2 linked regions of the Tribolium castaneum genome follow. The protein of the gene in region 2 purifies or fractionates together with the protein of the main gene of each other region. This does not show direct contact. Links are inferred from orthologs where the notes say so. Each region holds a gene or a part of one and is shown on either strand. Other genes may lie near its edges.

Region 1 (3,931 bases), about 2.6 Mb from region 2:
GCCGCCATGATTGATCCAGTTATGCTCAATTAAAATGCTAAGTTACCCGTTTCTGCATTTTTTTCATTTTTGAACAATAAAAGAAATATGAATTTTATACGTCACTTTATAATGATGATGTCAAAAAAAATTACGTGTTTGGTTCATCCATATTGTAAAGACTTATTAGTAGAGCTTCTGATTTTATAAGAAAAATTATACCGTTCCATTTAAAAATTCTGTGATGACGTCATGGTGCCGCCATATTGTCCGCCATGACTGATGCAGTCAGGTCAAATTTAAGCTCAATTAAAATGCTAACTTACCTGTTTTTGCATTGTCTTATTTTTTAAAATTAAAAGAATTACGAATTTTATGTGTTACTTTAAACTGACTCTGTATAAAAGAAAGACCGAAAGTGAATAACGTTCATGAAAAGGTTAAAATAAAAAACTAAATTACAATCCATATTCTAAAATCACTGTTCGATCAATTGTGCTTTTCGTTAGAAGTTTATGATATCTCAAAAAATTAAATTGTATTATAATTTTCTCTTTAGAATTAAAGCAGAGCTTTATAGACAATTTAAGAGACCATATTTACTTCACAACATTTTAAATTACTAATTAGTAACTTAGTTAAGTTACTTATACACGTATACGTATTATGTGTGATTTTTTTTATACTATATGTTATTAAAATGTATTTAATTCTTATGTGCGATTTGGTCAAGTACCAATTTATTTAACACCTTATAAAACTTCCCTGTTGTTTAGTAAAAATTTGCCTTAAAAAACTTATACACGTATCAGTCGAAACACTAAAAATTAAATAAAATACATCTATTTATTAAAAGAATTTACTTTTCAAAAGTGTTCTCAAATGCCTCATATATTTTACTAAAATTAATAAAAACATTTCTTGATTTCTTGCTCTAGTTTGATTTTGAAGATACTTTTAAGCTTAAAGTGATTGAGAAAAACAAAAGGTCATCAATGCACTACTAAATTATTAAGTTAACGTATTTAATGAAAATATGCTGGTTTTGCCAATTTAAATCTGACGACGTTTAGCTACCTTAAAAAAACATTTTTTGTAATTAGGAATATCGATTAGTAAATCTGTATTTGTTAAATTGTAGAGTTTGTTTGTATTTACCACGCTTTACAATTTTACATTAAATATGTAAATTTTGTGAAATGCTCGATAAAAAAAATTACTTTTGAAAATAATAGCCGTGAGTTTTGTACAGCTGATTAAAAACTAAAAGCCAACATTCCTGCAATTTTTTTAAACAAGTATTTTTGAGCAAGTCATAAATTTAAATTAACTTAATCAATTTGGAGCCGAGTCGGTTAAATTGGGTGATTTTCAAATTCGTTTCGCCACTTAGTTTTAGTCCTCCATATATCTTAACTCACCTGAATATAACCCAGCGCTAGCAAAGTACCCTTATGAACCAATCGAAACTCATTTTCATTAGTCGGCTGCCAGATACACGTATCAACATCACTTCGGATCCCTACAGCCAACGGCTGGTTCTCTTCCAACCCAACACTTAGCAGGACTTGATGTGACCCCAAGTTGATTTTATGGGTGACCTCATGCGAATCGCGCGAAATTCGTTCAAACACAGTCAATTTATCGCACTCAAAGTCACACTCTTCCACTTGTTGGCTGTTGAAAGTGGTCCCTGTGGGCGGCCCCATCTCGGTATCGCTCGTAAGTGGGGCCAATCTCGCCGCAATTTCGCTAACTAAAGCCGGATCTGGCAAATATTCGCCAAAAACGTAGCCACCTTCGACGATTTCTGGCCACATAAGGCCGGATTCACACTTTTGTAAAGTTAGGACGAGAGTGCTTGACTCAATGGTCCAACAGGTCACATCAGGGTCTATTTGGTGATACAATTTGCCGGTTAGGAGAGTCTCATTTTCGTATTTGACCGAGATGTGGGTTGGTTCGGTGGTTACGTGGACTAAATTTTTCTTAAAATTTTCAGGAAGTGGAAATTTAATGGTCAAATCTTCACTGGTTTGGCTCCACTTGTATTTCTTTTCAACTTGAATTTCTTCGGCTTTTTTGATTTCATTTTCCGAATCCAGGGTGAATTTGCAACCATCATCGCTGATTACGTAAACTGCGTCACAAGTGCGTTCGAAATTTGCGTACTGGACGAAGCCTTTAACTGTTAGTTCCCTCAAAGCCACTTGGTTCCACGAATCGCTTTTTTCCAAAGTTATCCAGTGCAAAATTGTTGAATTTCTCTCATTCGCTTCCCTCTGTCTTATACTGGTTAGTAATAAATGCAAATGTGGTTTTGGGGCCTCTTTAAAAACCACATCAGTTACAACAAACTTCTGATCAGGACCTGTCACGTCCCCAGAAAAGAGTATCTTCCATTTATCGTCAATGTCTCTGCAGCCCCTGTCTAATACGTAAAGATAGCCCATTCCATCTGCTACAACGGCAATCTGACTTGAGGCAAATTTCAGGGAAATATTGTAATCCCCAAAGCTCCTTTCTCTCTGTAAAGGTAGCGTCCACACGGTTGTTTTACAGAATGTGTGTGTCAATGATTCAATGCTAAATTTTTGAACGTTCAACTCTTTATCAACAAAATAAACTGATTCATTATCATTTTCGCTAATCAAATGATTGTGAAGAGCAAAGAGTTTTGCATGGAGCAACGAATACTGATTTACATCAGGCACTAATCTGTCCACTGGTACTTTTAACTGCTCGCTAATTGTGGGGATCTCGGCCAAAGACAACTTATAACCGTCAAAATCAGAGTTCAGTAATGATCGATCAGGACGCAATTCCATTAATTTCGGGTGAGACTGCATCTTGTGTAATTAAATACTGTGTGGCACTGAATTTATTATTACAAGACAATTGTTGGAATAAAAATCATAACCTCAATTCGCACTGTCAAAGTATGACTGACGTATGACAGAAATGTGTAAACATAACCTCAAAACTAAAATGTGTTTTCCAAAAAAATGGATAATTTAGCGGAACAGTGTGAGGAACTTGAAGCTTTGAAATCTATTTACGATGATAACTGGCGGCTGGAGACGGACACGAATTGTTATAGCATTCAAATTAATCCCAACGTTAAATTATTCATAACTTTGAATGATGATTATCCGTCAAGCAAGCCCCCAAGTTTTGAGTTATTGGCTCCTACATTAACGTCAGAGCAGAAGCAGCTAATTTCCGATGAATTTGGTAACATTTACGAGTATGAACAAGAAGTGTTTATGCTTCTTACAATTATTTTTGAACTATGATTTCTTAGAAGTAGCCAGGGAAGCCCTATTCTGTTTCAGTGGATTGAAAAGTTAAAGGAAATTGTGGACGAGTGTTCAGAAGTTTTAAGTGCTCCACAGCCAGAAGTTTTAAATGGCGAAGTTGAAGAGAAACAAGTCAGGAAGGAAACTTTTTTACAAGTGATACATGGGGATATTATACAAGACAGAAAAAGTGTTTTTCAGGGTCACATGGCTCGGGTTCACTCATTAGAAGAGACAAGGTATTTTACATGTCCAAATTACTGAATGATATTCTATTTAATTTTTTGTTATAGAGAATTTATGAATTTTTTACTTGATAATAAAAAAATTGCTCAAGCAACTCATAACATCTCAGCTTATAGAATTTTGACTTCTCAGGGAACCATTCTCCAAGACTGCGATGACGATGGTGAAACGCACGCCGGAGGGCGTGTTTTACATTTATTACAAATTTTGAATGTAACCAATGTGATGGTGGTTGTTTCTAGATGGTGAGTGTTTTTTTCTATGTCGTTTGAGTCGAATGGGGTGCGTTGGTAACAATAATAACTCATAATCCTAGCTCATAATGTATTTTTTTCTATAGCAGATGTCTGTGTGCTTTATTCTACTGAAAATAATTATTCATTTAGTTTTTTAACCGCAAAGTGAAG
Region 2 (3,831 bases):
GTTATAGGGTTGGATAAAAATAATCTTTAAAAAAAATGTGCATTAAAAGAAAATGTTTGAAAAACTGAAAATAAAATAAATTTATTGGGTCCAACACTTTATTAGAAGAGAAAGGAGGAGACATAGAAGTCACTAAAGTCTTCAGAGTCGTCTTTAGGTGCTCCATTTTCGTCGTCGTCTCAAACATTGAAAACTAAATTACATTTTTGTTCAGTCAAATATGAATATATAATTAATTCAATGTACATATTTTGAATACATTTTTTAATAAACTGTATGCATTAAGTCCAACATTTTATTCTATCATATCATTTGAGTCATTGAAGTTTCACTCGATTTAGTTCATTTTAGTAGAACAAAAGTTCGCCAGAAAATCTAGTTATAAGTGATGTTATTTTTCATCTTTTTACAACTTTAGGCAAGTTTTTAAACTACATTTTCAATTTTTTGGCAAATTTCGTTAAATCAGACCAACAAATCGTCAAACTTATAGCGTTTTAGTATACATTTCAACTAGAAACACAATTATTTCTTTAAATGTTGACAAAACATGCCAACAATTCTCAAAATTTAGTCAAAAATTGTATTTTTTGCGTTTTTCGAAAGTTTTATCAAAAATTTTGCTAAAACTAACTGAAAGAACATCAAGTCACATTGAAATTAATGTTATTTGGTAATATTTTGACCAAAGATTCACCGAATAAATCGATATTTGATTTTTTTCAAGCGTTATAGCTTGTTCTTCCCACAGAAACGCATTTATTTCTAAAATTTTGTCAAAAGTAAGACAAAAGCTCACCAAATTTGACCAAAAGTAAATTGCATTTGTCTATTTCGTATATTTTTTAAAGTTTTGACACGTTTTTAAACTAAAGTTTTTTGTCAAAGTTTACTAAAAACATGCCGATAAATCACCAAATTAACGAAAAAGAATGTTTTGTCTTTTTTAAGCGTTTTAGAGTTTTAGTTCCAGCTAGAAACGCAAATATTTCGTACAATTTGGACAAAAACAAGCAAAAAGGTCACAAAGCTGTTAACGCAAAATAGTTTATTTTTATATCTTCCACGTACCTAAGCACACATTTAGGGAAAACTAATATTTTGCCGAAAAATTTTACTAAAAGTAGCTGAAAAATCAGATGTTTCACTCCATTCAACTCATTTTTCAGCAAAAAAACTTTTTTTTCAGAAAAAACGATAAAATGAGCAAAAAAAAAACAAATTACAATCAAAAATAATGTTATTTTTTATAGGTAAATTCTCAAGTTTTTTGTCAGAGTTCGCTAAAATTGAACAAAAATTCACCAAAAAAGTCAATAAAAATAAAAATAAATTCAAAGAGGCTCAGAAAAATGTATAAAACGTAAGGTCAAAACTAACATTAATTCGAAACTTCGAGTTTGCACTATTCAATAGCTAATAAAAACCAAAGTTTATCAGTTTTTTTCGTTTTGACTCATTTCAGTTTTCAATCAAAATTTAAAAAACACGAAAAACCCTACAAATTCATAGTAGAACCAAATAATCAAGTACAAAAAGTGCAATTTTTTATTGTCACTAAAATATATTTTTTTCTTGTTATTCTCACCTGGAGCGCATCCATACCAATCCTAGGATTATAAACCTTCAACTTGCAATAACCCGAATCGATGACAAAAATAATCCCATCGACAGTCAACGACGTTTCCGCAATATTCGTCGCCACCACACACTTCCTAATCCCTTCCGGTGACCGTTGAAAAATTTTCGCTTGTAGATCGGACGGTAGTTGTGAATAAATCGGCAAAATTGACAATTCTGGAGCATTTTCAATCTCTGCAAGTCTCTCAGCCAGGACTTCACACGTCACTTCAATGTCCTCCTGACCGGGCATAAAAATAAGGATATCTCCAGACGGAGGTTGGAGGTGGATTTGGAGAGCCTGCTTGACGGCAGCGTCCACATAATCCTCCACTGGATTTTTACTGAAGAGGATTTCCACAGGGAATGTGCGACCAGGAATTGTGAAGGTGGGCACGTTGCCGAAAAACATCGAGAATTTGCTCGAGTCCATCGTGGCGGAGGTGACGATGAGTTTGAGGTCGTGACGGCGAGCCACAATCTGGAAAAAATCAGATGAAGGAAAAAATTTCAATAAAGAGTTTCATTAAAAAAAATGATAGAAAAAAGTTAGGGATATTAATTAATTTTAAAGAAAGGCTGCGGAAATATGAAAAGTCATACCAATCTGTATTTTTCTATTAATATTTTGTTATGGTTTGGAGATGTAGAAAATACACAAATTTGGTGATTTTTGGAGAAAATATGTCCAATTTCAGTTAAAAACGTGCTGAAAGTCACAAAAAAAAAATAAAAACAATTTTAAAATTGTAGAAGCAACTTATATGCCCGGTATCTTTTGATGAAATCTGGTGAAAAATTAGAGAATTAAATTGAAAAAAAGTGGAAGAAAATGTTTTCGCGAGCTAATTCGCCGACTTTCGATCTGAATGTATTTGTGTTTTAGGTGAATTATTGCAATTATATAGTTGGTAATGTTGATTTATTTAAAAAGTTTGTGTTAAAATATCTGCAAAAGAAGGTCAGTACCTGGGGCCCGGTGGCCCAGTGGTATAAGCGCCACTTACGACGGGGGAGGTCGGGTGTTCGAACCCGGATCACGGCAACAATTTTTCTATGAAAAAAAGTGTAGAAAAGGTAAGTGAAACAACACGTAAACAAAAATAAGAGATTGAGAGAACACATAGACGTATAAATGTAAAGCGGAGCATAAAACAGAGAGAAATAAGAAAATAATGCGCCAAGAGGTAAAAGTACGTAAAGGCGCCAAATTGTAAACGTAAGAGCACATTTTAATAAAGAGAAAACACCTTTTGTTTTGAGAGAAAAAGAAATGAACGTAAAGGTGAAACATAACTTCAAACTTTAGCGTTGAATCCTTAGATGACTTAGTTCTCAAATTATAAAAAAAATTAAACGAAAATATTTAATTTATCTCTAAAAATTTTTAGTTAACTGAGTTTGTTTAGTAAAGTTCCGAAAAACATTGTTAATGAAAATCATGGGCACTGTGAATCCAGTAGGATATGCGCACGTGCTCTGCTCTATTTTTGACTAGAAAATGCACAAATTTGGTGATTTTTGGAGAAATTATGTCCATTTTCAGTTAAAAACGTGCTAAAAGTCACAAACAACGTAAAAACAATTTTAAAATTGTAGAATCAACTTATACGCCCAGTATCTTTTGATGAAATCTGGTGAAAAATTAGAGAATTAAATTGAAAAAAAGTGGAAGAAAATGTTTTCGCGAGCTAATTCGCCGACTTTTGAACTGAATGTATTTGCGTTTTAGGAGAATTATTGCAATTGTAAAGACTGTAATGTTAATTTATTTAAAGAGAGATTGAGAAAACACAGAAGTAGAAACGTAGAGCGGAGCATAAACCTAACAGAAATAAGAAAATAATGCGGCAAAAGATAAAAGTACGTAGAGGTGCCAAATTGTAAACGTAAGAGCACATTTTAATAAAGAGAAAATACCTTTTGTTTTGAGAGAAAAAGAAATGAACGTAAAGGTGAAACATAACTTCAAACTTTAGCGTTGAATCCTTAGATGACTTACTTCTTAAATTATAAAAAAAATTAAACGAAAATATTTAATTTTTCTCTAAAAATTTTTAGTTAACTGAGTTTGTTTATTAAAGTCCCGAAAAACATTGTTAATAAAAATAATGGCCACTGCGAATCCAGTAGAATTTGTGCACGTGCACTATTTTGGTGATTTTTGGAGAAATTAAGTCCATTTTTAGTCAAAAACGTGCTAAAAGTCAC

Evidence for each region.
Region 1: the proteins of Prp16 (region 2) and nudC domain-containing protein 1 purify together in Homo sapiens (co-immunoprecipitation; 3 studies listed by BioGRID and IntAct, with this or other methods). This does not show direct contact. The link is inferred for Tribolium castaneum from reciprocal best matches to the Homo sapiens genes DHX38 and NUDCD1.

Annotation. Positions count from the first base shown.
Region 1 is NC_087394.1:22,049,401-22,053,331, reverse strand, and holds the start of nudC domain-containing protein 1, read right to left. Parts: upstream 2,829-3,931; coding exon 1,401-2,828; intron 1-1,400. Other genes in the region: protein IMPACT-B, read left to right, coding at 2,985-3,226, 3,284-3,517, 3,572-3,769.
Region 2 is NC_087394.1:24,689,521-24,693,351, reverse strand, and holds part of Prp16 (pre-mRNA-splicing factor ATP-dependent RNA helicase PRP16), read right to left. Parts: intron 2,102-3,831; coding exon 1,589-2,101; intron 1-1,588. UniProt on the Homo sapiens protein: Probable ATP-binding RNA helicase. Involved in pre-mRNA splicing as component of the spliceosome.